Linked DNA regions of Mus musculus: all the other regions are reported to be linked to region 1. The links are microRNA targets in miRTarBase. Many come from high-throughput screens and were not tested one by one. Region 1 holds a microRNA gene; each other region holds the end of a gene's coding sequence. Distances are from middle to middle.
What was found. Region 1 holds the annotated microRNA mmu-miR-669m-3p (AUAUACAUCCACACAAACAUAU, at 2,854-2,875, opposite strand). A microRNA usually pairs through its seed, bases 2 to 8, with sites in the 3' UTR of a target mRNA and lowers its output. Matches are read on the target gene's strand: a 7mer-m8 pairs with bases 2 to 8, a 7mer-A1 pairs with bases 2 to 7 and ends in A, and an 8mer does both.

Region 2: miRTarBase lists Adgra1 as a target of mmu-miR-669m-3p. Seed matches in the 3' UTR shown: 7mer-A1 at 645-651 and 7mer-m8 at 1,466-1,472.
Region 3: miRTarBase lists Akap7 as a target of mmu-miR-669m-3p. Seed matches in the 3' UTR shown: 7mer-m8 at 1,996-2,002.
Region 4: miRTarBase lists Tigd5 as a target of mmu-miR-669m-3p. Seed matches in the 3' UTR shown: 7mer-m8 at 1,200-1,206.
Region 5: the mRNA of Strbp is a reported target of mmu-miR-669m-3p. Seed matches in the 3' UTR shown: 7mer-m8 at 648-654, 7mer-A1 at 3,625-3,631 and 7mer-m8 at 3,927-3,933.
Region 6: the mRNA of Sort1 is a reported target of mmu-miR-669m-3p. The part of its 3' UTR that is shown has no 7-base or 8-base seed match.
Region 7: miRTarBase lists Pcsk5 as a target of mmu-miR-669m-3p. The part of its 3' UTR that is shown has no 7-base or 8-base seed match.

Annotation. Positions count from the first base shown.
Region 1 is chr2:10,511,654-10,515,721 of GRCm38, reverse strand. It overlaps Mir669m-1 (microRNA 669m-1), which reads right to left and starts at 2,932; the gene lies at 2,835-2,932. All of the region lies in intron 10 of Sfmbt2 (Scm-like with four mbt domains 2), which reads right to left. It overlaps Mir297b (microRNA 297b), which reads right to left and starts at 4,055; the gene lies at 3,947-4,055. Mir466d (microRNA 466d) reads right to left here and starts at 3,755; the gene lies at 3,660-3,755. It also overlaps Mir669m-2, Mir466n, Mir669o, Mir466g and Mir466h.
Region 2 is chr7:139,875,707-139,879,774 of GRCm38, forward strand. It overlaps Adgra1 (adhesion G protein-coupled receptor A1), which reads left to right. Exons shown (of 8, transcript NM_177469.3): 8 at 1-2,382. The coding sequence ends at 488. Among named protein-coding and RNA genes, the nearest start is that of Kndc1, 17 kb to the right of the region's middle.
Region 3 is chr10:25,167,813-25,171,880 of GRCm38, forward strand. It overlaps Akap7 (A kinase (PRKA) anchor protein 7), which reads right to left. Exons shown (of 8, transcript NM_001379238.1): 8 at 1,278-3,436. The coding sequence ends at 3,240. Among named protein-coding and RNA genes, the nearest start is that of Gm36313, 16 kb to the left of the region's middle.
Region 4 is chr15:75,911,084-75,915,151 of GRCm38, reverse strand. Tigd5 (tigger transposable element derived 5) reads right to left here. Exons shown (of 1, transcript NM_178646.4): 1 at 617-4,068. The coding sequence ends at 3,433. Among named protein-coding and RNA genes, the nearest start is that of Tigd5, 3.4 kb to the right of the region's middle.
Region 5 is chr2:37,580,287-37,584,351 of GRCm38, reverse strand. It overlaps Strbp (spermatid perinuclear RNA binding protein), which reads left to right. Exons shown (of 18, transcript NM_001379315.1): 18 at 246-4,065. The coding sequence ends at 322. Among named protein-coding and RNA genes, the nearest start is that of Gpr21, 66 kb to the right of the region's middle.
Region 6 is chr3:108,356,761-108,360,828 of GRCm38, forward strand. It overlaps Sort1 (sortilin 1), which reads left to right. Exons shown (of 20, transcript NM_019972.3): 20 at 469-4,068. The coding sequence ends at 483. Among named protein-coding and RNA genes, the nearest start is that of Mybphl, 6.1 kb to the right of the region's middle.
Region 7 is chr19:17,429,744-17,433,811 of GRCm38, reverse strand. It overlaps Pcsk5 (proprotein convertase subtilisin/kexin type 5), which reads left to right. Exons shown (of 38, transcript NM_001190483.2): 38 at 37-1,498. The coding sequence ends at 419. Among named protein-coding and RNA genes, the nearest start is that of Rfk, 38 kb to the right of the region's middle.

The DNA of each region.
Region 1 (4,068 bases):
ATTTTCACCTTGTGAGTGAGAGCACCCACTGATCCAGCCCTGCATAATCTCTAAAACTTTAAGTCACATGTCATTTAAAAGTATCAATGAGTGCCATTCGGGGTATGTGTGTGTGTGTGTGTGTGTGTGTGTGTATGTGTGTGTGTGTGTGTGTGTGTGTGTGTGTGTGCCTGTGTGTATGTGTTTGTGTGTATTTATATGTATATTCATATGCACACATACATTAGCACACAAAACTATGCAACATGAACATACACTGGGAAGGAACCCATAAAGCCAGGCTGATCTCTAAGCCATTTTGAAGTTATTCATAAATTTGAACTCCTAATCCTTCTGAATATGGGAAGCTTTTTCACATTGTGAGTAAAAAGTTTCATTAGCCCAATACTACATAATCTTTAAAGCTCTATGTCACACATCATTCAAATGTATCAATGAATGCCATTCCATGTTTGTGTGCTTGCATTTACATGTATGTTTATGGTATGTATATTTATATACACACATGTGCATACACAGGGACGTAAACACACATGCACATACACGGGTGGCATCACATGAATACCAGGATGATGTCCAGCTGAAGTTAAGCATGAATTTGAACTCCCGACCCTGCTCAATCTGTAATATGTTTGCACATGGCGAGTGAGACCGTTCACTGTCCCACTACTGCATAATCTCTAAAAGAATAAGTCACATAGCATTCAAATTAATGGATGAATTCAATTCCTCTGTGTGTGAGAGTGTATGTGCTTGCATTTGTGTGTGTGTGTGCGTGCGTATGATATATATATTCACATACACACAAGCACATGCACACACAAATATACACACATGGACATACATGGCTGAGAATCACATGAATCACAGGCTGATCTTAAAATCATCATGAAGTTAAGCATGAATTTGAACTCCTAAAACTCCTGATTCCAGCATACATTTTGACCTGGAGAGTGAGATCACGCACTGTCCCAGAACTGCATAATCTCTAAAACTCTAAGTGACATATCATTCAAATGGATCGATGAGTGTCATTTGTGTGTGTGTGTGTGTGCCGCATGTGTGTGCATGTGTCTGTATATGCAAAATCATATACATACATCCACATGCACACACACGAAAACACACATCGACATAAATGGGTGGCATCACATGAATGATCTATAACTGAAGTTAAGCATGAATTTGAAATCCTGATTAACCTGACTCTGTCAATCATTTACACCTGGTGAGTGAAACCATTCACTGTCCCCTATTGCATAATCTCTAAAACTCTTAAGTCAGTTATCATTCAAATGGATTGATGAGTGTCATTCTTGTGTCTGTGTGTGTGTGCTTGTGTTTATACGTGTGTGTGTATGTTATGTATATTCAAATACACACATAAACATGCACACACAACTATACACACATGCACATGCATGGAGGAATCACAGGCTGATCTCTCATGAGGATAAGTATGAATTTGAACTCGGGATACTCTTAACTCTAGCAAGGATTTTCACCTAGAGAATGAGAGCACTCACTGGCCAAGTACTGCATAATCTCTAATATGCTAAGTGACATATCATTCAAATGGATCAATGAGTGGCATTCGTGTGTGTGTGTGTGCTGCATGTGTCTGTACATGTATACTCATATATATACATTCACATGCACACACCTGTAAACACACATGCACATACACGGGTGGCATCACATGAATACCAGGATGATGTCCAGCTGAAGTTAAGCATGAATTTGAACTCCTGATCTTCTTGAATCTGCAAATTGTTTACACATGATGAGTGCGACCATTCATTACCCACTACTACATAATCTATAAGACTGTAAATCACATATCCTCTGTGTGTGTGTGTGTGTGTGTGCACGCACGCGCATGCAAGCGCACATGCACGTGTGTCTATGTATGCTCTCATGTATATGCATATTCATATACACACATGTACATGTACGCACACACAAACACACATGCACATACACAGGAGCCATCACATGAATGCCAGGCTGATCTCCAACTCATCATGCAACCAACATGAATTTACACTCTTGATCATCCTGAATCTGGCAAGGGTCTTTACCTTGTGAGTGAGAGCATTCATTGGCCCAGCACGGCATACTCTCTAAAACTCACATGTCACATGTCACATGTCACTCAAAATGATCTATGGGTGCCATTTCTGTGTGTGTGTATATCTGTGCATGCTTGTATATGTTTGTGTGGATGTATATGTATATTCATATACACACATGCACATGCACACAAAACTATACACACATGCAAATATATTGTGGGGAACCCCATAAAATCAGGCTGATCTCTACTCTCTTTTGAATTTATTTATGAATATGAATTCCTGACCCCTCTGAATATGGCAAGCTTTTACATAGTGAGAAAAACTTTCATTTGACCAGTACTACATAACCTTTAAAGCTCAAAATCACATATCATTCAAACATATCAATGAATTCCATTCCTTGTGTGTATGTGTGCATACGTGTGTCCATATACATGTATGTTTATGTTATATATATATATATATATATATATATATATATATATATATGTATATATATATATATATATATATATTCATTTACACAGATGTACACGCACACACATGTAAACACACATGCACATACATGGGTGGCATCACAGGAATACCAGGATAATCTCTAACTGAAGTTAATCATGAATTTGAAATCCTGATTCTCCAGACTTTGTCAATCATTTACAGCTGGTGACTGAGACCATTCACTGTCCCACTACTGCAGTCTCTAAAACTCTAAGTCACCTATCATTCAAATGGATCGATGAGTGCCATTCCTGTGTGTGTATCTGTGCTTGCTTGTATATGTTTGTGTGGATGTATATGTCTATTCATATACACACATGCACATGCACACAAAACTATACACACATGCACATACATTGGGGAGGATCCCATGAAGCCAGGCTGATCTGTACACCATTTTGAAGTTACTCATGAATTTGAACTCCTGATCCATCTGAATATGAAAAACATTTTACTGGTAAGTAAGAAGTTTCATTGGCCAAGTACTACATAATTGCTAAAGCTCTAAGTCACATATCTTTCAAACATATAAATGAATGCAATTTTTTCTCTGTGTGTGTGTGTGTGTGCTTGCATATACACATGTGTTTATGTTATGTATATTCATGTCAACACATGCACATGCACATACAAGTAAACACACATGCACATACATGGGTGGCATCACATGAATACCAGGATGATCTCTAACTGAATTAAGCATGAATTTGAAATCTTTATCCTCCTGACTTTGTCAATCTTTTACACCTGGTGGGTGAGACCATTCAATGTCCCCTATTGCATAATCTCTAAAACTCTACATGACTTATCATTCAAAGGGATTGGCGAATGCCATTCCTGTATCTGTGTATGTGTGCTTGCGTTTATACGTGTGTGTGTATGTTATGTATATTCAAATATAGACATGAACATGCACACACAACTATACACACATGCACATACATGGAGGAATCACATAAATCACAGGCTGATCTCTAAATTCTCATGAGGATAAGTATGAATTTGAACTCCTGATACTCTTAACTCTAGTAAGCATTTTCACTCTAAGTCACTTATCATTCAAATGGATTGATGAGTGCCATCCCTGTGTGTGTGTGTGCGTGCGTATCTATGTGTGCGTGTATGTATATGTATATTCATATACACACATGTACATGTACGCACACACAAACACACATGCACATACACAGGGGCCATCACATGAATGACAGGCTGATCTCTACCTCATCACGCAGTTAACATGAATTTGCACTCCTGATCACCCTGACTCTGGCAAGGGGCGTCACATGGTGAGTGTGACCTCTCCCTGGCCCAGTCATACAGAATCTCTAAGACTCTAAGACACATATCATTCAATAGAACAATGAGTATCCATTTTCTGTGTGTTTGTATGCATGTTTGTATGGGTATGTGTGTATGTATATGTATATTCATATACACATGTTCATGCACACATACATATACACACAAGCAAATAGATTGGGGGCATCAC
Region 2 (4,068 bases), not on the chromosome of region 1:
CTGAGGAGGACGTCTACCCACACGATCCCCACCTGCATGACCCTCACCTGCACAGGTGCCTCAAGGGCAGAACTAAGTCCCACTACTTCAGCCGGCACCAGGCAGCTGCGGCTGAGAGGGAGTATGCTTACCACATCCCCTCCAGCCTGGATGGCAGTCCCCACAGTTCACGTTCGGAGAGCCCCACCAGCTCTCTGGAGGGCCCAATGGGGATGCACACATTGGCCTGCTGTGCCCAGGCTGACCCCTTCCCCATGGTCAGCCAGCCTGAGGGTGGAGACACAAGCCCTGGGCTCTATGGCTGCCCCCCACACCTATCCCCAGGCCCTGCCCACTTGGAGATGCTACGAAGGACACAGTCCCTGCCTTTTGGGGGCCCCAGCCAGAATGGGCTGCTCCAGGGTGATGTTCGAGAAGGCCTGCCATTTGGCACTGATGGGACAGGGAACATCCGAACAGGACCCTGGAAAAATGAAACTACAGTGTAGCCAGGTTGGGAACACAACTTCTTCGCCAGTGCCACCACGTGTCCCTGGAGGAGCTTCAGAGCAGGGAGTGGCCCTTTGCTATGTGGACTGGAAGGGCCATCAAATGACCAAGTGGTTCTGAAATGGTTCCCAGCCCTCAGCCATGATCTCTTTTGTTGTATAAGAACCCATGGGAAGAACACTGGGCCACATACAACCGCCACTAGTCCCCAAGCTTACCTCCATAAGCTAGTCACCTGCTTTCTGTTTATAGCACCTTCCCTCGCTGCTGGGAGGGAAGCTGGGAGGACACCCCCCCCCCAAGACTCCAGCTGGTGTTCTTGCCTTTGGTATATATATGTTAGGTTTTGCTCTAGGGACCACCGCAGTGGCCCTCCAGAGCTCGCTCACACTGGGCAGTTTCCTGTCCCCTGCTGTCCTTGCGTTACCTCACACCTGCATCTCCACTGGGGGAGCCATCTGGCACCTCGGCCTACTCACCACCTGCACCTGTAATGGGAAATGGCCCTGGCCTGGTAGCCTGAGGTCATTTCAAGTGCTAAGGATGGGCCTGGTATGGAGCCATGGGGAGGGGAAACAACTCATGGCTGTGGCCTTCAGGGAGCTGGCTACAGTCTCTCTGGGCCTGTGCTGTTGAAAGTTGGCCTCTATCAGACTGGATTCTGTCCCATTGTGAGCATGTAGTAGTCAGATTCTCCGTCCCACAAGGAGGGGCTGAGTGGGGTGTGACGGTCATCACGGATGAAGGTTTCTTATCATGGATGACGGTTTCTTTTCCTTTTTGCCATTTTCATGATCATTTTGGGTACAAAGCCCCACCTCAAAGAGTATATTTCAACAATGAGCCTTTTGTACAAGCAAGTGTCTTGTCCCAGGGGAGATCCTCACAGAGGTGAGAGCCCAGAGATGCCAACCTGTGACTGTCCACCCTTCCTCTCCAGCTTTCTCTTCCCAGTTTGTAGTGCATATGCCTACATATGTATACACACACACACACACACACACACACACACACACACACTGGCATACATATATGAACACACCTTTGTGTGTACATACACTTGTGTGTACACACATGCTTATACATATTTACAGTTACACTATGCACACCACATACACGTGCATCCACACGCTTGCCCACCACATGTATGCACGTGCACATGCCTGCACACTACCACACATGCACACATACCACACTGTCCACACACAGACGCATTGGTGTTCACACGCACCCACAAACAATTAGTGTGTATCACAGCCCTGAGTGCTGGGTTTCTCTGCAGATGTGGGTGAGTCTGTGACTTGCTTCACAGAGCATAGCCTTCCCGATAACCGCCTCAGAGAACAGGGCATAGGTAAGTTCCTAGAGCATTGGAGGCGAGGCGGCAGCATTCTGCAGCCTGTGGTGGGCAGTGCCATCTAGAGGCAGACACACTCAGTATCTGAGTAAGGAGGCTAGCAGGCAGAGCTGATATTCATAAGCTCCTCTGTGATATCCCTTAAAGCAGCATTCTGTACCCATCCCTCAGGTGGGTAGCCAAGGACCACCAGGCTGTTTCAGCTCCTTTCACTAACGGACTTTTTTACCTGCTTGTGTAGCTGATGTGTGCAGAACCCACCATGCTGTGTACGTACTGTAGATACAGACCATCCAGAGGAAAATACAGTGTTTTACATTGTTTGTCCTTGGTCGGGCTGGTCAGTAGCATTCATGTGTGTGTTTCTCAGTCTTGACAAGGAAGACCAGTATGGGAGAGGCTTGGCCCCCATCCAGGCTGCTCCCCTGGGCCTAATCCCTCATCTTTTCTACCACGGTGCCTCTGGGAGAACAGAGACACCTCTTCATTCAACCAAAGAAATTCGGCATTAAATATTGAACCTGGCTGTGTTTCAACATTGATTTAGATTCATGAGTCCACTTGGATAAGTGCTGCAGCAGAATCCCGTGACGTCCTGTGGGGAAATGTCATAATGTGCAGCATCCCTGCTTCTCAGAGCCCTCGACTCAGAACCAACCTCCCTTAGGCTGAAAGTTGTCTGTGCCAGCTTTCCAGGCCTTGCTTTACCAGGTCCCTCCCTTCTTCCTTCATGATAATCCACATGGCCAGTGTGTAGGTGGCTGTACAGTGAGTATTCACGTGAGTGTGAATGCACATGTGTGCCTGTAGAGCGTTAGTTGTGAGTGGGTGTTGTCAGAGTCACATTGCATGTCCATCTGTATGGAATGTGTGTGTGTGTGTGTGTGTGTGTGTGAGAGAGAGAGAGAGAGAGAGAGAGAGAGAGAGAGAGAGAAAGAGAGAGAGAGAGAGAGAGAGAAGAGAGAGAGAGAGAGAGAGAGAGAGAGAGAGAGCTCTTCACAAAGGTAACACTACATACCCGGACACACACATACACACACACACACACACACACACACACACACACACACACACACACACACACAGCATCCCTGCACTGGAAAGTATTTCATGAGGTTATATCCTCAGCACACAGAGATGTTATGACAACTTTAATCACCTCAGCAGTGGTTCTAACTATGGAGGCTCTGACTGTCTGGAGACTAGCAGCGTCTGCTGTATCTCCCACGGGGCCACTCCACAGCCAGACAATCTCACGTCTGCCTGCTGAGGTGCCGGTGCAGCCTAGGCAGATCAAGGACACCTCTCAGATCTATGAATGAGTCACCTCTTCAGGCGCTTTGAGTACCCGAGAGGCCCCTGGAGCTACCAGAAAGATGCTGAGACAGAATCTACATCCCATCTACCTGAAACAGGCAGGCAAGACTGAAACATGGGAAGACCAGGGAGACTCTGGGCCCCATCTTCAAAGGAAAGTCAACTTAACTTAGAGGGTGTAATGAGGTTGTTGGGGCTGTGGGTCAAGGTGTAGCCTTGGCAGAAGACCTGTTATAGGATGGATCCTTCTATAGGAGCAGGTAGCCCTATGGATTTCTTTAGCAGTTCCTGACAGAGGTGTCCCTGATGGTGACTGTGCTATAGGCAGTCTGCCAAGTCCTACCACCTGTCCCCTGACCCTCAGTGTTTCTAGGTAGATACTGCAGGCCTCAGCCCACAGTAGGCTCTGAGATCAGCAGATCCCTCTGCAAGGACCACAACCCCCAGGGCAGCCTTTGTCACACTTACTCCTTCATGGTGCTGTTAAAATTTATGTTTGAGGCCAGTGGCCAGGGAAACACCTTCATTCTATGATTTAATATTCTCTAAAATATCACCTGTTACTATTACAACTGGGACCAAAGAGTGAAGCCTGAACCATGCAGTGGTGGTGCACGCCTTTAATCCCAGCACTCGGGAGGTAGAGGCAGGAGATTTCTGAGTTGTTGACCAGCCTGGTCTACACAGTGAGTTCCAGGACAGCCAGAGCTGCACAGAGAAACCCTGTCTCTGGGGGGAAAAAAAAGAGTGAAACCTGTTAAACAATGTATTTGAAGTCCTCTGACCACAATGGAGCCCAGCTCTGCATCTGCAACAGAGGCTAGAGACAAAAGAGACAGGAGGAACAGTGGACACATGGCTTAGGCAGAGGCTGGGCCCAATGGGGCTCCTGGGATAGAAGATAG
Region 3 (4,068 bases), not on the chromosome of region 1:
TCTGTGCCTGTGTGACCGTGTATATGTGTGTGACTGTGGGGGGGGGGGCTGTCTGTGTCTGTGTGTGACTGTGTGTCTGTGTGACTGTGTGTCTCTGTGTGTGTGAGACTATGTGTGTGTGAGGTGTCTGTGTGTGACTGTGGGGGGCTGTCTGGGTGTGGCTGTGTGTGTGTATCTGTGTGACTGTGTATGTGTGTGTGACTGTTGGGGGGTGTCTGTGTGTGACTGTGTGTGTCTGTGTGTGTTTGTGGTGGGAGGGCTCAAGGACTTCCTCTTTATTACTCATCTTTAATTTTTGAAATATTGTATTTGTAAAAGGGAGGAAATGCCCCATTGTGGGAAATGTCACCTTTTAGGTAGAATAGATTTTAATTTAAATTCAGCGCTCTTTTGTTTTACATCCTTGACCATTTCAGCATAAATTTCCCCCAGTGTCCTAACTTAGAAAGTACTAATTACTTCCTACTAGAACCACTTAAGGAAGAGATTTAACCATGTGCCCAAATCACCTGGCACCATAGCCCAGGTCTTCATGGGTATTTAACAACAGAAACTGACAGGCAACTGAAGTTAACAGAGAGACATGGAATCGGAGCACTACATCTTTCAAGCTCTTTAGATTTGCGGATAAGTCCTTGAGAAGAAGATACAGACTGGTGCTAAGAAATGTCGATCTGAAATTGTTCTCGTGGATCAGGGGACAAAGTAACAATGGAGCGCTGGGGCCACTAGGCTGTGACTCAGGTCCAAATTCTTAACAGCAGTGTGCCTTTGACTAGGGCAGCCACCCGACCCCTGGAGTGGGTTTCCTCCTTTGAAAAACCAGGACAGACCTAAGCATCTTTGCTTCCTTTAAAGTTGCCCAAGAAAAGCTGTGATGACCTCCACTGCTCAGAGGGGGTTCGTAGACAGCCCCTGTCACAGAAGGCTCATGGACAGCCACTCGGGGGGGGGGGGGGTTCCTGGTTCACGGCCAGCTTCTCAGAGGGGGCTTACAGCCAGCAGCTAGCAGATGTGCACACGCAGATGAATTTGCTCTCTTTGTATTTGCTACTCTGGACACAGGGTTAGTTATTTTGTAGACGCCACTTGGGTTATCTTTGAGTTTTCTGTTCTGCGGTTACTTGCGTCTGATGTTGACTGCTTTGAAAGTGGTGAAGTGCTATGCTTCCTTTAGCACAAAGGCAGGCAGCACTAAAACCTCAGAGTCCCTGCTCATGGCTTTGGAACACCAACCAGAACCCAATGGTTTCCAGAGGAAAGAAAAGAAGAAAAGCAACAGGGGAAAGAGTACTTTTATTACAGGGCATGAAAACGTAGGGCCGTATAAAGGAATACATCATGAATTCATGTAGTATCAGCTACCCAGTGAAAAAATAACCAGAATACACGAGCAAACTGGACTGTGTGTGGGAGGATTACATATTTCATCTCTAACTACTTCCTTCCCCATCATCTACCAGTAGCAGCAATTTTAAAGTAACTACCCAAAGAGCTGTTACAAAGAAACATCACATGGGGGGAAACACCTCAAGAATGCTCGTTTATAAATGAACCAGTGCAAACTACTCAAATCGTAAAGAACACAGCCTTGGGCTTATCTTCATAGAGTAGGAAATAAGAGCCCTGAACATTCTTCACTAAGAAATTAAAAAAAAAAATGCAACTGTACTTTTATCAGTGAAAAATAATAATATAGATATTATAAAACATTCTTAACCCATGACTACAATGATTACACTTACTGATGTTCATTCAAGTACTGATAGCAATAAGCATTCAAACGCTCAGCAAAAGGACTGTGACACTGGACAAGCCCGGACAATGCTTCCTCTGAAGTGACAAGGGCCACATCAACAGGAGGCAGGTGACCCTTACATCAACAGGAGGCAGGTGACCCTTAGAATACTGTTGATGGTTTATTTTTGTTTTCTTGTTGTTTTTTGTCTGTAAAGGATTTTTCATAGTGTTTTTCATAGTGTGTGTGCATATATATATACATACATACATACATACATACATACATACATGTATATATATATGTATGCGCAATATTATCTGCAAGGACCCCATGGAACATCTTACAACAGCTAATTAAGAAGTTATTTCTATAAAATGAGTCAAAGATACCAAAACGAACATTCTAAAACTCAACTTTATGGTGATGACGATGATGGTGACGATGGTGATGATGGTGATAATGGTGATGATGACCATGATAAGGCAAAAATATGTTTTCTTTGGCAAGAAGTTGTTAATTCCTTACCAAGTGTTGGTTTGTGGGCTTTGTAGAAACTGTAAGAACACTCTGTTTACTCACCAAAGAGCTATTTAATGGGCTGAGAGTTCATAAACACTTTACCAGGCATAACAACAGTGGAGAGCTATGGCAAAATCAGGTTGAAATCAGCATTGCTTGTTGGACTACCATTATTAAAAACTCTTCCTTCAAAAAGCTCCTTTCTAATCTTGGCCTGAGTCTCAGGCTTTAACAAAAGTTCTTTTATCTGTTTCACTTTGGATTTCAGCTCCATCCTTTCTCGGTGCAAAGCTTCATTAATTAAGTCTTGGGTTCCAACTGGCTTCTTGCCTAAGGGGAAAAATTATATAATACATTTAAAGTACAAATATCAATGAAGTACATTAAATATGGCACATTGACTTATCAAAATAAGGCTTAAAAACCTTTAAAACATCACCCACATTTCATAGAAAAGATTGCATTTTACCAAAAATATATACTTTACACGAAACTTAATTTACTGTAAATAAAGATCACCGTGTGGTAACAACACATAGAGGACAAACAGGAAACATTGTGGACTCACTATACTAATGGTCATTTCAACAATGACAAACTGAACTTAGCACTTGATAGCTGTGTGCAAGTTTTGGCCTCCGATAAAGTAGTCAAAGGATCGAAGCAATGTAAACGGCAGTATTCTGTCTGTGGCAAGTCCTCTCCCTCCCTCCGCCTTGTGAGTCAGGCAGGCGGTCCGAAAAGCCCGCTCTCCCTTGTGCATGGTCGATGGCACACCGACTTAGTGTTGTTCTTCTGTAAATTAATTTCTTCTGCTGGTCCCAGCACCCCATTCTTTTCTGTTGTGTCGCAGCAACACCGAACGCATCAATCACATCAATCAGAGAAGTATTAGGTGATCTCCAGGGCTTGAACAAGACACATTGCGAGTTAGTCTACGACTTAGCAGAGGGGCATCGGACCGGACTGGATTCAGCTCTCACTTCCGGTTGTTATCACTGCCATCACCATTCCGATCTCCCTCCTCAGCTTTGGTGGAGTTCCCCTCCCCTGGCTGCTTTTTGTTCTGCGTCTCTTCTAGGTACTGCTGGACAGCCTTGAGCACGGCGTTCTCCACCAGCCTCTTACTGAGCCTGACCAGTTCAGCATCCTCAGGCTCCCTTCGGTCCTTCTCACCTACATTCCACAAGAGAAGAGAGGTCACTGAGCTCGTATTGCCATAGCAACTAGGCCACCAGGGTCCAGCTAGTTCAGCTAGTTAAAAGAGCAAGTGCCCTTCACTCTGGCAAATGGGATCTATAATTCCAACAAGACTGGGTTGCTTTTTCCTATGACATTTGTCCAAGCAGGAACCTGTCTATTCCTGCAGACTCTACGCTGAAAAGCAGCCCGACACACCCTTGCGGGCAGCGCCGCAGCCTTTCATTTCTACATAGCTCTGCGCTCCTCTCTCACCCAAGGCTTATGACAGCTGTGGAGCTGCCTGTACCCACACCTAGGGTCTCGAGCACATGAATTCACCAAGGAGCTCTGCATCTGCTGCTCCCTTTCCAGTGCTAGCTATCAGGAAATCAAGACTGCCCCCGTTATCTTACAGGTTAGGCTCACTCATGTTTAAACGCTTGGCATAGAGATCATTGTCGATAAACTCCCAGCGCTCACACACCAAGACAGGTGTAGTAATCACGACCAGTAGCAGCTGGTTTTAAAAAGGACTGCAGGGCTAACATCCTGATTTTAAAATCTCATTGCTATCACTGTAATTTTAGAGATAGGAAATTCTCCTAGGAAGGGTTAAGATACTGGTA
Region 4 (4,068 bases), not on the chromosome of region 1:
AAACAGCTCAGCTGCTGTGTTTCTACAAAGTGCTGAGAGAGCTGGCCAGTGAGAAGGCCAGAAGACAGACCATACGGACAGCAGAGGGCTCCACCATCCCAGCTACAGGATCAGTTCCGTGTCGTTCAGACACAAGGCAATCCACTTCCCTGCAACAGGGCCTCTAAGCTATCCCCAGTCTAGGTAGGATAGAACCCCAGGGTCTGGTATAAGGCACCCCTTTGTGGGATCTCCTTGGGCAGCCCACCTGCCAAGATGGTCAGTGATGGTAGTGAACCAATGGCTATTTGTCCCTGGGACCCGGCCTGGGAGGTGAAATACATCCCTTCATTGGCCAGTCTAGAGCACATTGCCTTATGTTCACTGGTGACAGGCTGGAACACAGCCTGTTGGCTACTCAGAGAAGCAGCTTTGGGGCTATACAACTGTGATACTGTCATGAGGCCTCTTCCTGCTATACACTGCTTTCTGAGGTAAAAACTGGTAGGTGCTCATGCATTCTCTGTAATCGCTATTGTCCCACTTTAATGCACTCCTCCAACCCCCATCCTATGGAGTGTTCCAGATGCAAGCATTAGACCCAGTGACAAAAATAAGACTAAAACAGGGTAGCTAATGACGTCAACCTGTTTCACCTTTATTACACGGGCCAGGTGAATTCAGCTGTGAGCAGGGCTGAGTGGCAGAGAGAGGGCCCTACAATAGGACAGGAAGCCCACAAGCCTCTGGAGGACAGCTGCTGGCGTCAAGATGCTCTTGTGGATGCATTCAGAAGAGGCTAAGTTGTGGGCCAGGTCACGGCTGGGCTTCCCACAGGCAATCCTAACTAGGTAGTGTAAAGGGCTCAGTGTCCCACTGCTGGTGGCACCAACAAACCCACACTCCCCATCTTTCTGGGCTGGGTGCTTTCTCCAGACAGTCTGTTTATGAATCCAAGGTAGAACCTAGCAGAAAAGGCTGCCTGTACTTCCCAAGCCAAAGGATCACCACACTTTGGGGAACAGGCCGAGCTCTGGGGGCAAGTGAACTGGGATTCCTGAGTGAGGCCTGGTACACAGCAGGTGGCAATGGCTGCTGAAGAAGGGAACTACAGTTTCAACCTCATTAGTTCATGCAGCTCAGTGCCTGCCCACAGGGAGCGCGGTACACCACCAATGGGTGAGTGTATATATATATATATATATATATATATATATATATATACATACATACATAAATACATATACAGTGAGAGTGTAAGGTTCTCTCCTGGGGGGGCCATGAGCCCTGTGAAGCTCCATCAGATACTGAGTACAGAAAGGTGAACTGCCATGGGGGCTGAGGCCTCTGTGCACTGGGCTGTTCGGCACTGTAAGCCTCAGAGCTATAGGACTCCCTGCTGGACAACCTGGGCAAAGTAGCCTCCTCCACAACCAGGACGCAGCTATCTGAACCCCCGCCTAGAGCATGTAAAGAACACCAGAATGTTTCTAAGTGTACTTTTCTCTTCTTTTTACAGTGCAGTTGTTTGAACCTAGGGCCTTTGGCATCCTAGGCAGACATCCTACCACTGCACTACATCCCTAGCCTGAGATGACACCTTTGAGCCTCATGGGCATCTCCCTAGCCCCGTTAATGGTAGTACACGAACACAAACCTGACAGGAACCCTGTCACTCAGCCAGGCCGTACTTGCTTGTTTATAAGGCAGCAGCAATATGAGGTCATAACCTCCTGGGCCCAAGTAAAAGGGGCTTTTAGAGAGGCTGGTGAGAGGGGTCTTACTCCTGAGCCCTAGTCTCTGCCAACTCCAGTCTACCTGAGCCCAGGCCAGATCGGAACCTCTTCAAAAGAACAGTACATGTAACCTAGGCTGAAGAGCAGCTACTAGAAGCTACCCAGCCTTGAGTGTACCTCCAAGGCCCAGATCTGGCTCTCTGCAGATTTGAAAGCAGGTCTGTCAAAGCTGGATGGTAGTTCCTAACCTGGGTATCTGGCTGATATGGAGGCTGCTGGTATAAACACATTAGACTTTTGAAAACCCAGCCAAGTAGCTAGTGCTGGAGACCCCCACCAGCCACGATTGCCCAAGGTTTTCTAGGTCATCTTTGGGGAGGCTGGGTACTTAGGTGGTCAGATGGTCCTTAGTGTGCATAGATGGAGCCTGCTACCTGAGCTCCAGTTCTGTTGCTCTATGCTTTCCCTCAGCTTTTGATATTTATGCAGATTTTTGACTGGGATGTAGTCGTGGCTCCAAGGAACTATATTCTTGGGCCTAGGTGGAAATCACTTTTGGATACGTCACTCAAGGCTTTGCCCATTGCCAAGCTGTTACATCCCTTCTCCACTTCATGTTTGCAAGGCTCAGAGTAGGAGACATAAAGACAAGGAGGACCGGGACAAAGGCTCTGGATGGAATTCCTGCAAAGACACAGTGCCCCTCCTTAAGACGCAGGTGCCTTAGCTCCAGACGGCCAGCAGTCATCTGAATCCACAGCTGGGCAGAGCAGCAGATACAAAATGTGGACATTCCTTTGAGCCTTTTCTCCTTCAACCTGGGCTATCCAGCCATAGTTCCTGGAGAAGGCTGGTGCAGGAAGAGCCCATGGGGCTAGAGGTTGACTCTAAGGCACTGCAGAGTTCCCAGATGGTTGCAAAGGCTAGGGCATGTTTCCAGGTAGATCAGACTGCCCTGGAGCTAAACAAAGTGCTTTGTGGTTTGTCCTGCCCATTGATCCAAACACTTGCTAACCTCATGAATAGAAGACCTATCCAGAATGGAGTACTTAAAGGGGGCTGGGGAGTGGGAGGGACTAAAAATCCAAGTAGAACAGAATTTGCTATACTCTCTGCTGCATCCAAAACCTCACCAGGCACCGGGCTCACCAGGGACTGGATGGAGCCTAGCCTGGGCTTTGATCCAGCACCATAAGGACCTGAGTTATCAGAGCAAGGGCAAGAGAGCCCCAGAGACCACCTCACCCTGTCAGTCAGCACTCATGGGTTCCCCAGGAAGAGCATCTTTCCAAACAGGTTTAATGTTTTTAAAACAAAACCAAGAACCAAATGCTTCCCCACTGAGATGAGACCAGGTAGCACCAGGGAAGCAGATGAAACAGCAGCAGCCTCAGGCAGTGCACTCGGAGGCAGGTAGGTGTGTGTGTGTGTGTGTGAGCCCCATAGGGGCCAGAGTGGAAGTACAGTCAACTGTTCTCCAGTAGGGGCTGTGCTTATGTGCCCACATGTGCCTACCCAGGGAAGAACATAGCCACTTCCCCAGACCCTGTGGATTGGGGCAGTACATCCTTTACTTATAGAACTCCTCCAAACTGGGCTGGGCTTGCATCCCCGGACCCATACAGTGGACTACCGGGGAGAAAAGGTGGAAGATGGCAGACTGTATGTGCCCCCTCTCTCCCAGTGAGGCAGGAAAAAGACCACTGGGCCAAGGTAGTCACACACCATCATCAGAAGTTACAGCTGAGGGCCCAATACCCCCAAGCCTCCGTGCCATGGTAATGAGAGAACGTAGCTGCACAAGCCTCAGCGGCCCCACTTCTCTGGGATCCTGGCTCTCTAGCCACCTCAGAGCTGTCTCTAGTCCCCAGACAGCTTCCCCAGCAGTAGGTACCAACACTCCTCCTTGTTCGGTGGCCTCCTCCTCCTCCTCTCCAGCCCCGATGCTAGAGGGCAGGCTAGCTGGGGATGGAGGAGCAGCGGGGGCCACCTCTTCTCTGCAGCCTTCCGGAAGGCCTCCATCATCATCCAGGTGTAGCCACTGGGCCACCTCTTCAGGTGCCAGGCGCTTGTAAGCCAGAGCTGCCAGATGTGTGAGGTCACTGAGCACCCTGCTGTGTTCGGCAGTCTCCTCTACCTGGTGAGCTGGCTGCTGCCCAGGCTCAAAGGCTGCTCGCAGACCCAGCAGCCAGCAGCGCTCTATGCTGCCTGCCTGGACCAAGTCCCAAGAGAGGCCAGCCAGGTACAGCATGTCCTTGAGAACGAAGCTTCTCATGAAGTCCAGAGGGGAGCCACTGGCACAAGACACAGCAAGCCGCAGGAGCTCGCGTTTGTACAAATGCTTGAAGGCTGC
Region 5 (4,065 bases), 27 Mb from region 1:
TAGAATTCATGCCTGCTCACTCAGATGTCATTCTGAGTGTCATTCTATAATACAGGCTTTTTATTTTAGAGCAGAAAACATTATGTATCAAGATAGAAGAGCAATTGATTTGTGAGAGATTTGTGGGCCTCTTCCAAAATGGTATGAAGTGGACTGACTAATCTGGAAATGGTTAATGATAATTACTGTAAGAATTTTTAACCTGAAATTTTTATTGGAGTCCTCTCCGTTTCTTTTCTCTGTAGGTTTGCCCAAGAGAATGGTTCTGTTACCCGTTATGAAATTCCCAACATATCCTGTTCCCCACTACTCATTCTTTTAGTAAATGACAGAAGCTCATTCCTATTGAACAACAATACAGTACAATGCAGAATGTTAGAGAAAAAGCCTTTTTATCCTGCTTTCTTTGAACACATACTTACTTGATCAAAATTATTTGTAAAGAACATCTTTCCTACTTTTTGATTTTAACAAATGCAAATTCAGTTCTCTAAAACTTGAAAACAAACAAAAGAAACCAGTTCTGTGAAACGGTACCTCATTCCTGGAAATAATTTATACCAGCCCCTTCGTTGTAGGGAAGTCTAGCAGCTCAAAGTTGACGTTTTAAGAGAGTATCAGATTATGTAAAGTTAAATTTGTGAAGGATGTATAGAGTCTCAACACTGATTACAAATAAACTGCTTTGTTGTAACACAGAGTACTGCCTGGTTCCTGATGCAGTCACTGATTGGTAGCTGAGTGATATGTGCTTACTCCAGGGCACTTGAATTTGGGCTGTAGTTATTTTTTTTTTAAATACAGTAGAAACTTTTCATTTAAACTTTAACTTTGTAAATAACGAAGTGTGTAATTAAAGCCAATAAAATATGGGTTTGAATATTGTTTTATCTTATTATTTTTGATATGTTTTGGTATCAAATTTCAAGGAATTGAAAACTAGTAATAACTTGGCCCTAGAAACCCATTTATTTGTAAGCAAGCTGCTAAAACAAAGCAAAGATGATTTCTCAATCTATTCATTTTGTAAGCTCTTTGTACTCCATTTGTACAAGAGCATCCCCATGATAAGGTTACATTCTGTTATTCCAGCATTGCTTATTAAAATGATGGCACCATCCAAAGATGGGGAAGGAGGATTGTGATTATTTTAGTTTACGAATTTCCAAGTTAAAAAAATAAATTAATCAATCACCCTCTTTTGTTCTTGTGGCCTTCTTCACTCTGTAAGACTCTGTGTTCACTCCTTGACTTTTTCCATGTAGATAGATGATTAGCAGGTTTTTTTTTTTTTTTGGAATTCCTTGAAGAGTCTCCTTTCCTCTTCTTTGATATCAGAATCTAAAGCAGCAACAGGATCCCCATAAAAACTCGCTCTCTGATTGTCCCAGTTCTTGTTGAGTGCTGCTGTGAAAAGTGACAGATTTCAGCCATGGGTCAGCATTTACTTTTAAGACACCTGATTATACTGGTAGAAACTGGGAGCCAGTAACATTGTGCTGGTCTGTGAAGGGTGCAGACCCAAGTCCTTCCTTGCATTCTCACCATGTTTGGAAAGCTGATGATGTTACTAGAAGGTAATGGTTTCATTAAGGTACTCACCCCCATTCAGGCACAAGTGTAGTCCTCTGCAGACACAAGTCACTATTCTTAAAAATGATTTAGGAAGTAACTACTTTTCTGTTAAATTCCTTTTCAAAACTTCAAGCAGTGCCCATCACTTGAAAGTGGTCTTACTAAACTTAATGTACCAGGCTCCTTTGGAAGGGAATGCGAGATGAGCCTGCGGGCACAAATACTGCTCAGATGTGTATCACACAGTCATTTGTTCCTTTCCTTGACCTTTGTTTTCTAATAGTGGTGGGTGATACTTTAATAAAACCTTGTCACTTGCTGAAAATAGCTTTAACTTGTCATTCTCATCATGTGTGTTAGTGGCAAGACATAATGGAGCAGGGCCCTTTTCAGCTGGGAATTTTCATGTTCATTGGTTTGTTTTGCTGACCTATGGATGAAACAGAGCCATCACTGAGAAGAAAAAGCATGGCTGCTAGTATCTAGTTTTTAATTAATTAAATATTTACAATGGTTCTGTTTTTGAAATACTATTAATTGGCAGTTGCAGTTGTATTGTTATTTGAAATTGACCATCAAATTTGGACTCTAGGCTGGAATCTGCCTTGAGATTTCTCTTTAGAAAAGACTTTTGCAGTCTCTGACTCTGCCTCATAACTCACCCCCTCTCTGATGGAGGAGGAAGCTGTGCTGTTCTCCAACATGATGGCCGTCATTTCAAATGGTTCCTACCAAGTCTTCCCTCTTTCTTCTTAATTTTGTTGTTTGTTGGAAGTTACTAACCATGTTGTAAACCTGCCCAGTTGCTGCAAACTTTTACATTTCTCTGCTTTACTTAAAACAATGGAGCTGTTGACCCTATGTTAGAAGTGGTAACCATGCAAGTTCAATTGTTTAAATTCTGTAATGAATTAAGTGTCCTCCCACCTTTTGCCCGTCCCACCCTTCATTTTGTAATGAAAATTCCACTTACAGTTGAAAGAGCAGAGAAATATAAATGAAGCTCTTAGCTTCGTCCAATTGTATGAGATTAACATAAAGTTCTGCTTCTCTGCTCTTTTCTCCACTGTAGGTGGTTTTTTCATTGACAGCCCCTATTGCCAGCCTCTGAGCGTCGCACCATTTATTATTCACTTGGGCCCTCAAGATTTCTTCTCTGACTTCTAGAACCATCAGGTTGTCTGGCTTGAATGGCAATTTTATATCTTGGTCTTAAGAGCAATGTGACCCCTAAGGCTTTCCAGCTTTCAGATCCACTCTAACCCTTTTTGAAATCAATGACTAAGAATTTTAAAAAAGAGCAATACTTTGTCCAAAGCCACGATGTCTGTTTTAAAGCTCTCCTTTTGGACATGTAGCAATATCTAGATGTAAACCCTTCAGTGTGTAGCTCTTGTCAGGGAGTTTACAGACCAATGTAGAATTTAGAATCTATGTGAGCAGTGCTATATCCTCTGACACTTTTTAATCGTTTTTAGTACATAACTTGAGCTTTTACTTTTCTGACTTTGCCAGCTAGCAGTATTATAATTAATCCGAGACAGGTGTCCTCCTTAAGCCATATCTTTTGGTGGGGGCCGACGCTTCACCAGAGGTGTGGCTGGCAACCTGTGCCCCTTAAGGCTGCAGGAGCGCCACATCTCTTGTGCCTCATAATGGCTCCATAGATTTCCAACATACCTCATGCTGATGAGGTTTGGTGCATAGTATGGCAAAGTAAGGGGTTGGGTTAAGTAGCTCCTGAGATTGTTTGTAATCCCTCAAACTGTTACCCTCTGGGAATGAAATACTTAATGGTTTTGCTTGGATTAGCATTTTCTTTTTTCTTCTTCTTCTCCTTTTTTTTTCTTTTTTTTTTAAATGGGTGAATGTTTGAAAATCATGAATCAGTCACCGTAATTAATTGAAGAGCTGGGAATACCTTGTTAATGTATTTTTAAAACTGGTGTTGGACCCTCTGTGTATTTCAGGTTAATACTTTTAAGCAGTTTTCAGCACGTTTATCTCACTTTATTCTCGTTCTCCTCGGACCTCCGTAGCCATATCACTTGTATAAAATAGGCTGAGATATAGTGACTGTAAGCTGTGATCTCAGTATTCAAAGGTAAGCTCTTTTATTTTCTGATTAAAGAAAACAATAACCAATTAACACAACCTGCATATATGACAATCATATGATGTATTTGATCTCTTAGGTCTTATGTCACTGCATTAACTTTAAATTTTTATGGTCTAAATGTAAAATAGTAATTTCCAGCATTTGTTTTAATACTCTTGTAAACGCTTTATATTCAAGAGAAACATTACACATTCACTGAGTCCAGTGTATGTGGGTAGAATTGTAGGATTTAATGTATATGTAATTTATACATAACAGAGGCACCTGCTTGAATATAACAATTCAGTTGTAGGAACACTATCTAAGGAGAGTCAAAATGACAGGGCACTGTCTTGTTCAAGGAGCTAGGATATCAGAATCAGTAATGCTGG
Region 6 (4,068 bases), not on the chromosome of region 1:
GAGACAGGGTTTGTCTAACCTTGGCTGTCTTAGGACGAGCTCTAGGTCTAGTAGATCAAGCTGCCCTCGAACTCACCAAGGCCTGTGTCTGCCTCTCAAGTGCTGGGAATAAAGTCTTAAAAAGAGTTCCTTTTATACTTCTGATCAAGACAGTCTCCAGAAAGATGGCGCAGGGATTAAAAGTACTTGCCACTCTGGCAACCCAGGTTTCATTCTCTGCGAAGACATGATGGCTCACCACTCACTAGAACTCTGGTTCCAGGGAATCCAATGCCCTCTTCTGGCCTCCCATACATATATAATGAAAATAAGTAAATCTATTTTAAGTTAAAAAAAAATACACCTGGGACCAAGTTATGCATGAGCCCAAAGCAGCACTGGAGTGACAAGAGGCGCAGAGCAAGCAGGTGATTGCTTTCAAACTAGCTTCCTAACTTGTCAATAACGCGCACGTGTCTTTCTTTTCAGGACCTCCTGGAATAGCTCTTCAGAGGAGCTGGGACTGCGTGTGCGTGGAGCCACAGTACCTCCTACACTCCCTGAGGCTCCGACTTGGGGAAATAAATTTCCCACCTCGTCGGCCCCAGCTCTGTTTCTGCCACTCCTGTCCAAGCCCAAAGGACCTACACTAAAGAAAGCAGGATGGGGGTGGGGGACCCCGACTGACCTCACAGTTGGCTCTGAGGAGAGGGGGGAAATTTTAAATTCTTTAACATTTTTGTTTCAATTTCTGTCTTTTGTAAGACTGTGGGCTTTAGGCTTCTCTTGGTTTGTTTTGTGCATTAAGGGACATAACTTGGGACTCAAAGGGATTGTTTCGCTGACCCCGCTCTTGTGTGTTCCCTCTGGTGCCCACCCCAGGGCATCTGCCAACTCCAGCATCAACTCAACTCCCACCGCATACCTGGTGCTGTCCCTGGGCTCTGCTGGTCATGTGAGGCAGCCTCGGAGAAGGAAGCAGAGGGTGTAATGACTGGCACACCTGGACAGCTTTTCTCCATCCGCAGACAGCCCTGTTCAGAGAGTACCGAGCACCAGCCCTGTGCGGCTTCCTCATCCCCACCTCACCCCCAACCACTACTGTAGGGCACAATGACTTTTCTTTTCCCGTTTAATTAGGCAATACCCTTGTTAATTGCCCGTTGGCAACTAACTTAATCATGTGCTTCCAACACACTAAATAGGGAAAACTTACAGGGCAATATTTTTAACTTGTGGCAAGAGGGAGGCAGAGAATTGACTAGCTCTGACACCTATTAAAGACAAAACTGGCTGCTTCTGAGCTCTTTCAGGCTGTACTTTGTGCTGTGCCAGTGGCTCTGCCCAGGCTCCGCCATCCCTTTACTGGAGTTCATTGGTCAGTGCACAGTGCAGCCACAGGACTGACCGTCGTAGGCTTCCATTTTTCCCATCACCCACTGTAAAGGCTCAGAGTTGAACTACCACTGTGGCTGCTTATTGCTTCCTCCTAAGTTGCTACTGTTCATAGAACTGGGACTGGGAATGTTTTCAGGTTGATGGACTTTTTCAAGCTCAAAGTTATGTTCCCAGACTATCCTCACCCTTCCCCTAGTTTTGCTGAGTTATTTGTTGTCCAGAACCTGTTGGCTAACCCCACTGAAGGCACATTTCTAGATGATGCCGTGTGTGGTCAATACATTGCTTTCATGTTTTAAATTTAAGGAAAAATTTTATCTGATATTTTTCCAAATTAAATAAGTTAGAGAATGCAATCGGCGGATGTGGGGGCGGCCATCTGGTAGTGGAAAGCTGTAGCGATCTGAGTACAGCTTAGATGTTAGCTGGAGAGGAAGATGGTGTGGCAGGTCTCTGGTCTCCCTACCCCTGCTGTGCTGATCACAGTCCCTCCCAGTTACCACTAGGACATTCTCTAGTAGATCCATTTTGCTGTCACTTTATTCTATGGCTAGAAAGTCAGTGGAAAGTAAATGTGCCAAACTCACTTGTCAGAACACACGAGCAGATGGCAGAGTCCTCCTCCCCAGCAGGAACAAACGGCATCAGGGAAAGAGGGGGAGGAAGAGGAGGGAGAAGAAGAGGAGGGAGAGCCAAAGAGATGTCAACTGCAGCTCAGTGAGTCATGGAACGTCAGTTAGAAAACGAAGTTAGGGTCGTTTCTGGGAAGAGAATCAATACCTGTTAGAGCCAGAATGCTCCAAGTCTTTTAGCTTGTTCATTTTGTAATGATTCTAAAATAATTCCAAAGATATAGCAGCTCATAAATTTATCAAAAGTTCTGTCCACCCTCACCTCCTGCCAAGGGGAGAGATCTATTTCTACTACACGCTGTCTCTCCCAGTACATCCCCGGATTGGTGTGGGTAGATAGGCCAACGTATGGTGATCTCCCCTAGTGTCTGGATGGACTTAATGCTCATCCCTGACCAGAGACTAGGGTGCTCTGCCTCTAATGGTTTCTGGGATTTCTGTAGAGCTTGGCAGTTTCTGGCTCATTTCTCTTGAGCACCGCACTATTCTTGCCATAGAGAGAGCCCAGGAGCCAACGCTGAATCAGGTGCCCGGAGTCTTTGGAGCTCTGAAACTCTCGGCTATGCAAGACCCCGGGTCCTTGCAGCAGAGCTTCTCATGGGTGGCTTGCTGGGGCCGGGCCGAGGACTCCTCAGAGGCGTTTCCTGCAGAGCCATTATTTTGACGCCTTTTTGTTTTCTTTTTGAAAAACAAAATATTATTCCCCTGCTTCATGGCTGAAATAAAAGGTGATGGTAACTGGGGGCACCCCCTCTCCCTGGGATAGCCACTGTCGGGGAGCACAGGACCAGCCTCTGGATCAGTCCCTCTCTGCCCCTTCACTTCTGTCTCTAGCTCACTGGCTCTGTGGGCTTGGGCTCTGCCCCTACAACGGCTCTCAGAAGCATTCACACGCACAGATGTGCAACCTCAGCCAGAAGTTGAAGCTCTTTAAGCCATTTTATTTATTTTGTTTTTTACAGAATTTGTGCTTTGGTTTGCCCTGCGCAGCCTTGGAGCATCATAAGCCTGGCTGGTGGGCATAGTTATTCTCAGCATTGTGGTGGCAAATGACGTTGGTTCTAGAGACTTAGAGACTTGGGCAATAGGATTTAACACTGCTAGGTAGCTCAGACATATCAGAAAATCCATAGTGGCCTGAGTTGTAAATCCAAAACATATTTTTGTTGGCTTGGGACGTTAGGGGCTTGGGGTTTTCCTGAGGCAAGAGGTCATGGCTGAATGGGCCTGTGCCGTGAATTGAATGGAACACTACTTTGAGGCCCTTGGAGAGTGACAGCAGCTATAGGGTGGACTCAGGAGCTGTCAGTCTTAACAGCTGAGCCTTGGACCCCACTGCCTCTGAGTCTACATTCTGGCAGGCAGTCCCATGCTCTGGGCCTTACCTCTAGTCCCCTGCCTGCTCACACCTGGTCCCCTAGCCTTTTCTCTTGGGCAGTGTAGTAGTATGGGCGAGCCACCCTCAGCTCTTTTATTGGCCGGGGCTATAAACCATGGCTGGGCATAACTATTCCGAACTGTCCCCCCATCAGGATACAAGATGCTGAGAGGGCTGCAGGGCCATTCCATCAAGCCCCAGGGTGAAAGGGCTGGCATGGCATCGCTCATTTTATTGCTCTGCAGGTAAACTGTATAGGTATAGAGTCCTCCAGTGCTCTGAAGAGCCCTGCCTCTATGCACGCCCCCGGCAAAGGGCTTGTCAGTAGGTCCCCCTCAACTCCATACTCAACAGGGATGCACAGGATTGCTAACAGAGGGCGGGGCACACCTCAGTTTTCTATCACCTTCCTACCAGAGGGGAAAGTAACCTGAACTTTAATGTCTTTTGGAACAAAACCAAAGTTTAAGATTTGCCATATGACGACGTGGTGACCGGGAAGTCCAGAGTCGGCAAGCAGGTGCCAGATTTTCTATCCCATCAGCCAGTGCTTCACCAGGTGCAGGCTGCTATGGGCTTGTGGAAACCACAGGTACAGGTGGGATTTCATGGGTCCATGTGTTACAAAAATAAGAATTGGAGCATTAACTTGAAATTGTCTTCAAGGACTTGCTATGTGCA
Region 7 (4,068 bases), not on the chromosome of region 1:
CCCTTTGCTGCTGCTCCTGGGACGGCCTTCCATCAGATGAGTGCATCCTTCCAGCCAGGGAGGCTGAGTTTTACGAGCACACCAAGACTGCTCTGCTAGTGACCTCTGGCGCCATGCTGTTGCTGCTGCTGGGGGCTGCTGCGGTCGTGTGGCGGAAGTCTCGAAGCAGACCTGTGGCAAAGGGGCGGTACGAAAAGCTGGCAGAACCTACCGTGTCATACTCCTCCTACAGGAGCAGCTATCTTGACGAGGACCAGGTGATTGAGTACAGGGACCGGGACTACGATGAGGACGATGAGGACGACATCGTCTATATGGGCCAAGATGGCACTGTCTACCGGAAGTTCAAGTATGGGCTGCTGGATGAGACGGAAGATGATGAGTTGGAGTACGATGATGAGAGCTACTCTTACCAATAAACAGAGCCCCCTCCCATCTCAAACCCACCACCCACCACCCACCTCCCATCCCTTCCTGGTCCCTTCCTGGCTCTCAATCCTGCTGGGAGCTACCAATGCATTGGCTGAGGTCTGAGTGTTTGCTTTTGTCCTTACCTTGCATCCAACCCGAATATGTAGGGATGCTGGAGTCTGCTGTGCTGCTTTTCATTAGCTGAGTGCAATGAACAGATCCTGCAAGGAGAGAATTCGAAGGCATTTTCCCCGAGGGTATGTCAAGGGTATTAAATGCAGGAATCTAAAAGAACTAAGATCTGTTGAACACTCTAATGTGATTTTTAAAGTGGATGGAGAAGAGGACCTGTAAGGGTTCTGCTTTCAAACTGTAGTTGGAGACTCACTCTCATCCCCACAACTGCTACCTTCTAGAATTCTGATATTTGACTAAATAGAGGGGAGATGGAGTACTAGAGAGTTGTTGGAGCTGGGGTGGGAGGTCTCTCCACTTTCAATCGTGGAAAGAAAGAAAGAAAGAAAGAAAGAAAGAAAGAAAGAAAGAAAGAAAGAAAGAAAGAAAGAAAGAAAGAAAGAAAGAAAGAAAGACGGGAGGGAGGGAGGGAGGGAGGGAGGGAGGGAAAGAAAGAAGGGAGGGAGGGAGGGAGGGAGGGAGGGAGGGAAGGAAAGAGAGAGAGAGAGAAAGAAAGAGAGAAAGAATAATCAATCTGTGAAGACCAAGAAAGGGGACTTGAAGTTTCTTAAACAGTACTCCTGAAGAGCAACCACCTCCTTTGACTGCTTAGGACCCATCTATACTGAAAGGATTAGCAGCCTCAGAGCTGACAGTCCACACGCTAGCTGGGCCCCAGCTCCTTTGCAGAAACCCAGAACCATAGCCACCTAAGAGCAGAGGAAGGTCAGACGGAGGGAAGGCAGCACCAGGGCCAGAAGGAAGGAAACTGTTTCCAAGACTTTCCCCCTTGTGATTTTCTAAGAGCCTCTTTGATAGGAAGTAATAAAAGAAAAATTGTAATAGTAACACAAAAGACAAAAATTTCACTCACGCTCAACAATTAAATAAAGACTTCAGCTGCTAAATCAGACCAAAGTTGTCATCAATGAGTCATCAAAGAAGCTTGAATTCTCAGTAAGGATAGGTAGGTCAGAGCCTAACCTTAAAAAAATTCCCATCGTCCCTCTCAGGCTGCAAACAGCTGCCCGGGTCTCTTCACTCCTGCACTGTGCTTTGTTCCCAGGCTTCTTTTTGCCACTCTGGTCAAGTGTGTTAGATCATGTAACTGTGGGCACTTTTTCTGAACGTGGTGGTTCATAGTGAAGGCACGGAGCACAAAATGACACAAACAAAATCCCGTGGGGCTCCTTGTGACAGGTAATGCTATGCGGAGAACACCAAAAAGTGATGGGTAACATCATCACTTGATGACCAATCATAATACAATGAGTCGCACACCTGCCATGTGCCAGGCACTGAGCTAATTTACATATCTTACCCACTTCATACCTAACGACCAGCCAAATGCTGCCATCCATCCCTTATTTTCATAGAAAATCTGACACCTCCAAAAAGGATGAGCCACTTAGCTCAAGATTGAGGACAACTGATCAAGATTCAAGGAATAAGAATGCACTTAAAGCATGCATTCTTAATAACTGTGTGCCACTGAAAGTTATTACATCCTAAATGCAATAAAGCTATGTCTGTTACTTTACTCTATGACAGTTATCCTAGGTGCTATAGTAACATCTGTGAATGTAAATAACATTTACTAATAGGAAAGTCCAGTGCTTTTTTCAGCCCAGTGTGTTTCTTTAGAGAAAAGCCCTTAGGACACAGACCACAAAACAGTTTCTACCAATATCCAGTTTCCTTTTCAGGCTTTCTGAACTCAACGGCCTTTGTCAGGATTGCTCAGACCTACCATAGAGCACACATGGAGCCCAGTACAAAATAAATGAGTGAGCAGTGCTCCAGCAACACTTTTCATATGAACAGTAATATCTGAACTTCAAGTCGTTGTCACATATCATGAAATAACATCCTTTGATGGCTGCTAAAAAAGAGAGAGAGAGAGAGAGAGAGACCCCTGAATCTAGCAACAGGTGGCCCCAAACACTTCAGACATTATATGAGTCACATAAACATGGGATAAGTTCCCAAATTTTTGATCATTTAAAATGAACTCTCCAAAATCCATTTGATTGTTCACTTAACATAGCTTTAAAGAATCACCTTCAGGTCGATGGAAGAATCTATCCCTTGCTATGTAATTCCAGAGTCCAGCTATAGAAACAAGTAATTCTGGCTGCATATGCCATTTGTCTTCCTTGAGAATGTAGAAGCAGGCCGAGCTGCTCTCAGTAGGCTACAAAGCCATTTTCCCAAGAAAAAGATCTGTGCTTATGATGATGTACAGTCTCCCAAGCTGATCTGAAATACAAAAGAAAAAAAGAAGAAAAAAAAATGTGTCGTTACTCTTTGTGATTCACAGAGAAAGACACTGTGTGCCCATGTGATTAAGACCCAGCCTCCTGTCTGTGTAGACGTAATGCGTTCTTCTCAAACTGCCTTTGAATTCTATGCTAGCGATGCCCTGATGGGTAAACATGGTTGGAAAAGGTTGGAAAACACCTTTCAGGTTTTTGCTTGCAAATAACTTGAAAATGTTAAGACTAGAAATGCACCAGGAGACTGAGTAAAAAGCTCAGATGATGTTGACTCCCCGAAGAGAATGTTAAATTAAAAGTAAAGTGAAAGCAAGACCAGAGAATGCTACAAAGAGTTGCTTATCAGGAGACTATTTCTCAGCATTTTTATGTGCATGGTACTATGATGTACGGGATAATAGCTGCAGAACAGTAGGCATCCTGGGTTTTGTCTGCTTCGTTCTATCTACACCCAATGCTGAGCAAGTGTTACCATTGATGAATTTCCTCTCCAATAAACTGATCCAGTCTGTCTTTCAGCCTCACCACCACTGCCTCATCCTTAGCGTTACTGAATTTCAGTCCTTCTCCATTTCTTTTTCTCACTCCTGCTAGCAAAAGTCGTGCAGGAGTAGACAGGCTGCTGCAGGCTGCAATCTCGGTGTTCAGGAAACTGAACAAGAGAAATAGAGTATCTGGCCAGGAAAAAAGAGGAGAAACAGACAGAAACAGTCAGAAACCAACAGCATGAGATGGCCCAGCTCTTGTGTAGGCTTGACAATGGCAAATGGAGAAAACTGCCCTCTGTGAAGTTGTCTCTGACCTATGCATGCACATCATGGCACACATGCGAAGAAGAAGAAGAAGAAGAAGAAGAAGAAGAAGAAGAAGAAGAAGAAGAAGAAGAAGAAGAAGAGGAAGAGGAAGAGGAAGAGGAGGAGGAGGAGGAGGAGGAGGAGGAGGAGGAGGAGGAGGAGGAGGAGGAGGAGGAGGAGGAGGAAGGAGAAGGAGAAGGAGAAGGAGAAGGAGAAGGAGAAGGAGAAGGAGAAGGAGAAGGAGAAGGAGAAGGAGAAGGAGAAGGAGAAGGAGAAGGAGAAGGAGAAGGAGAAGGAGAAGGAGAAGGAGAAGGAGAAGGAGAAGGAGAAGGAGAAGGAGAAGGAGAAGGAGAAGGAGAAGGAGAAGGAGAAGGAAGGAGAAGGAGAAGGAGAAGAAGAAGAAGAAGAAGAAG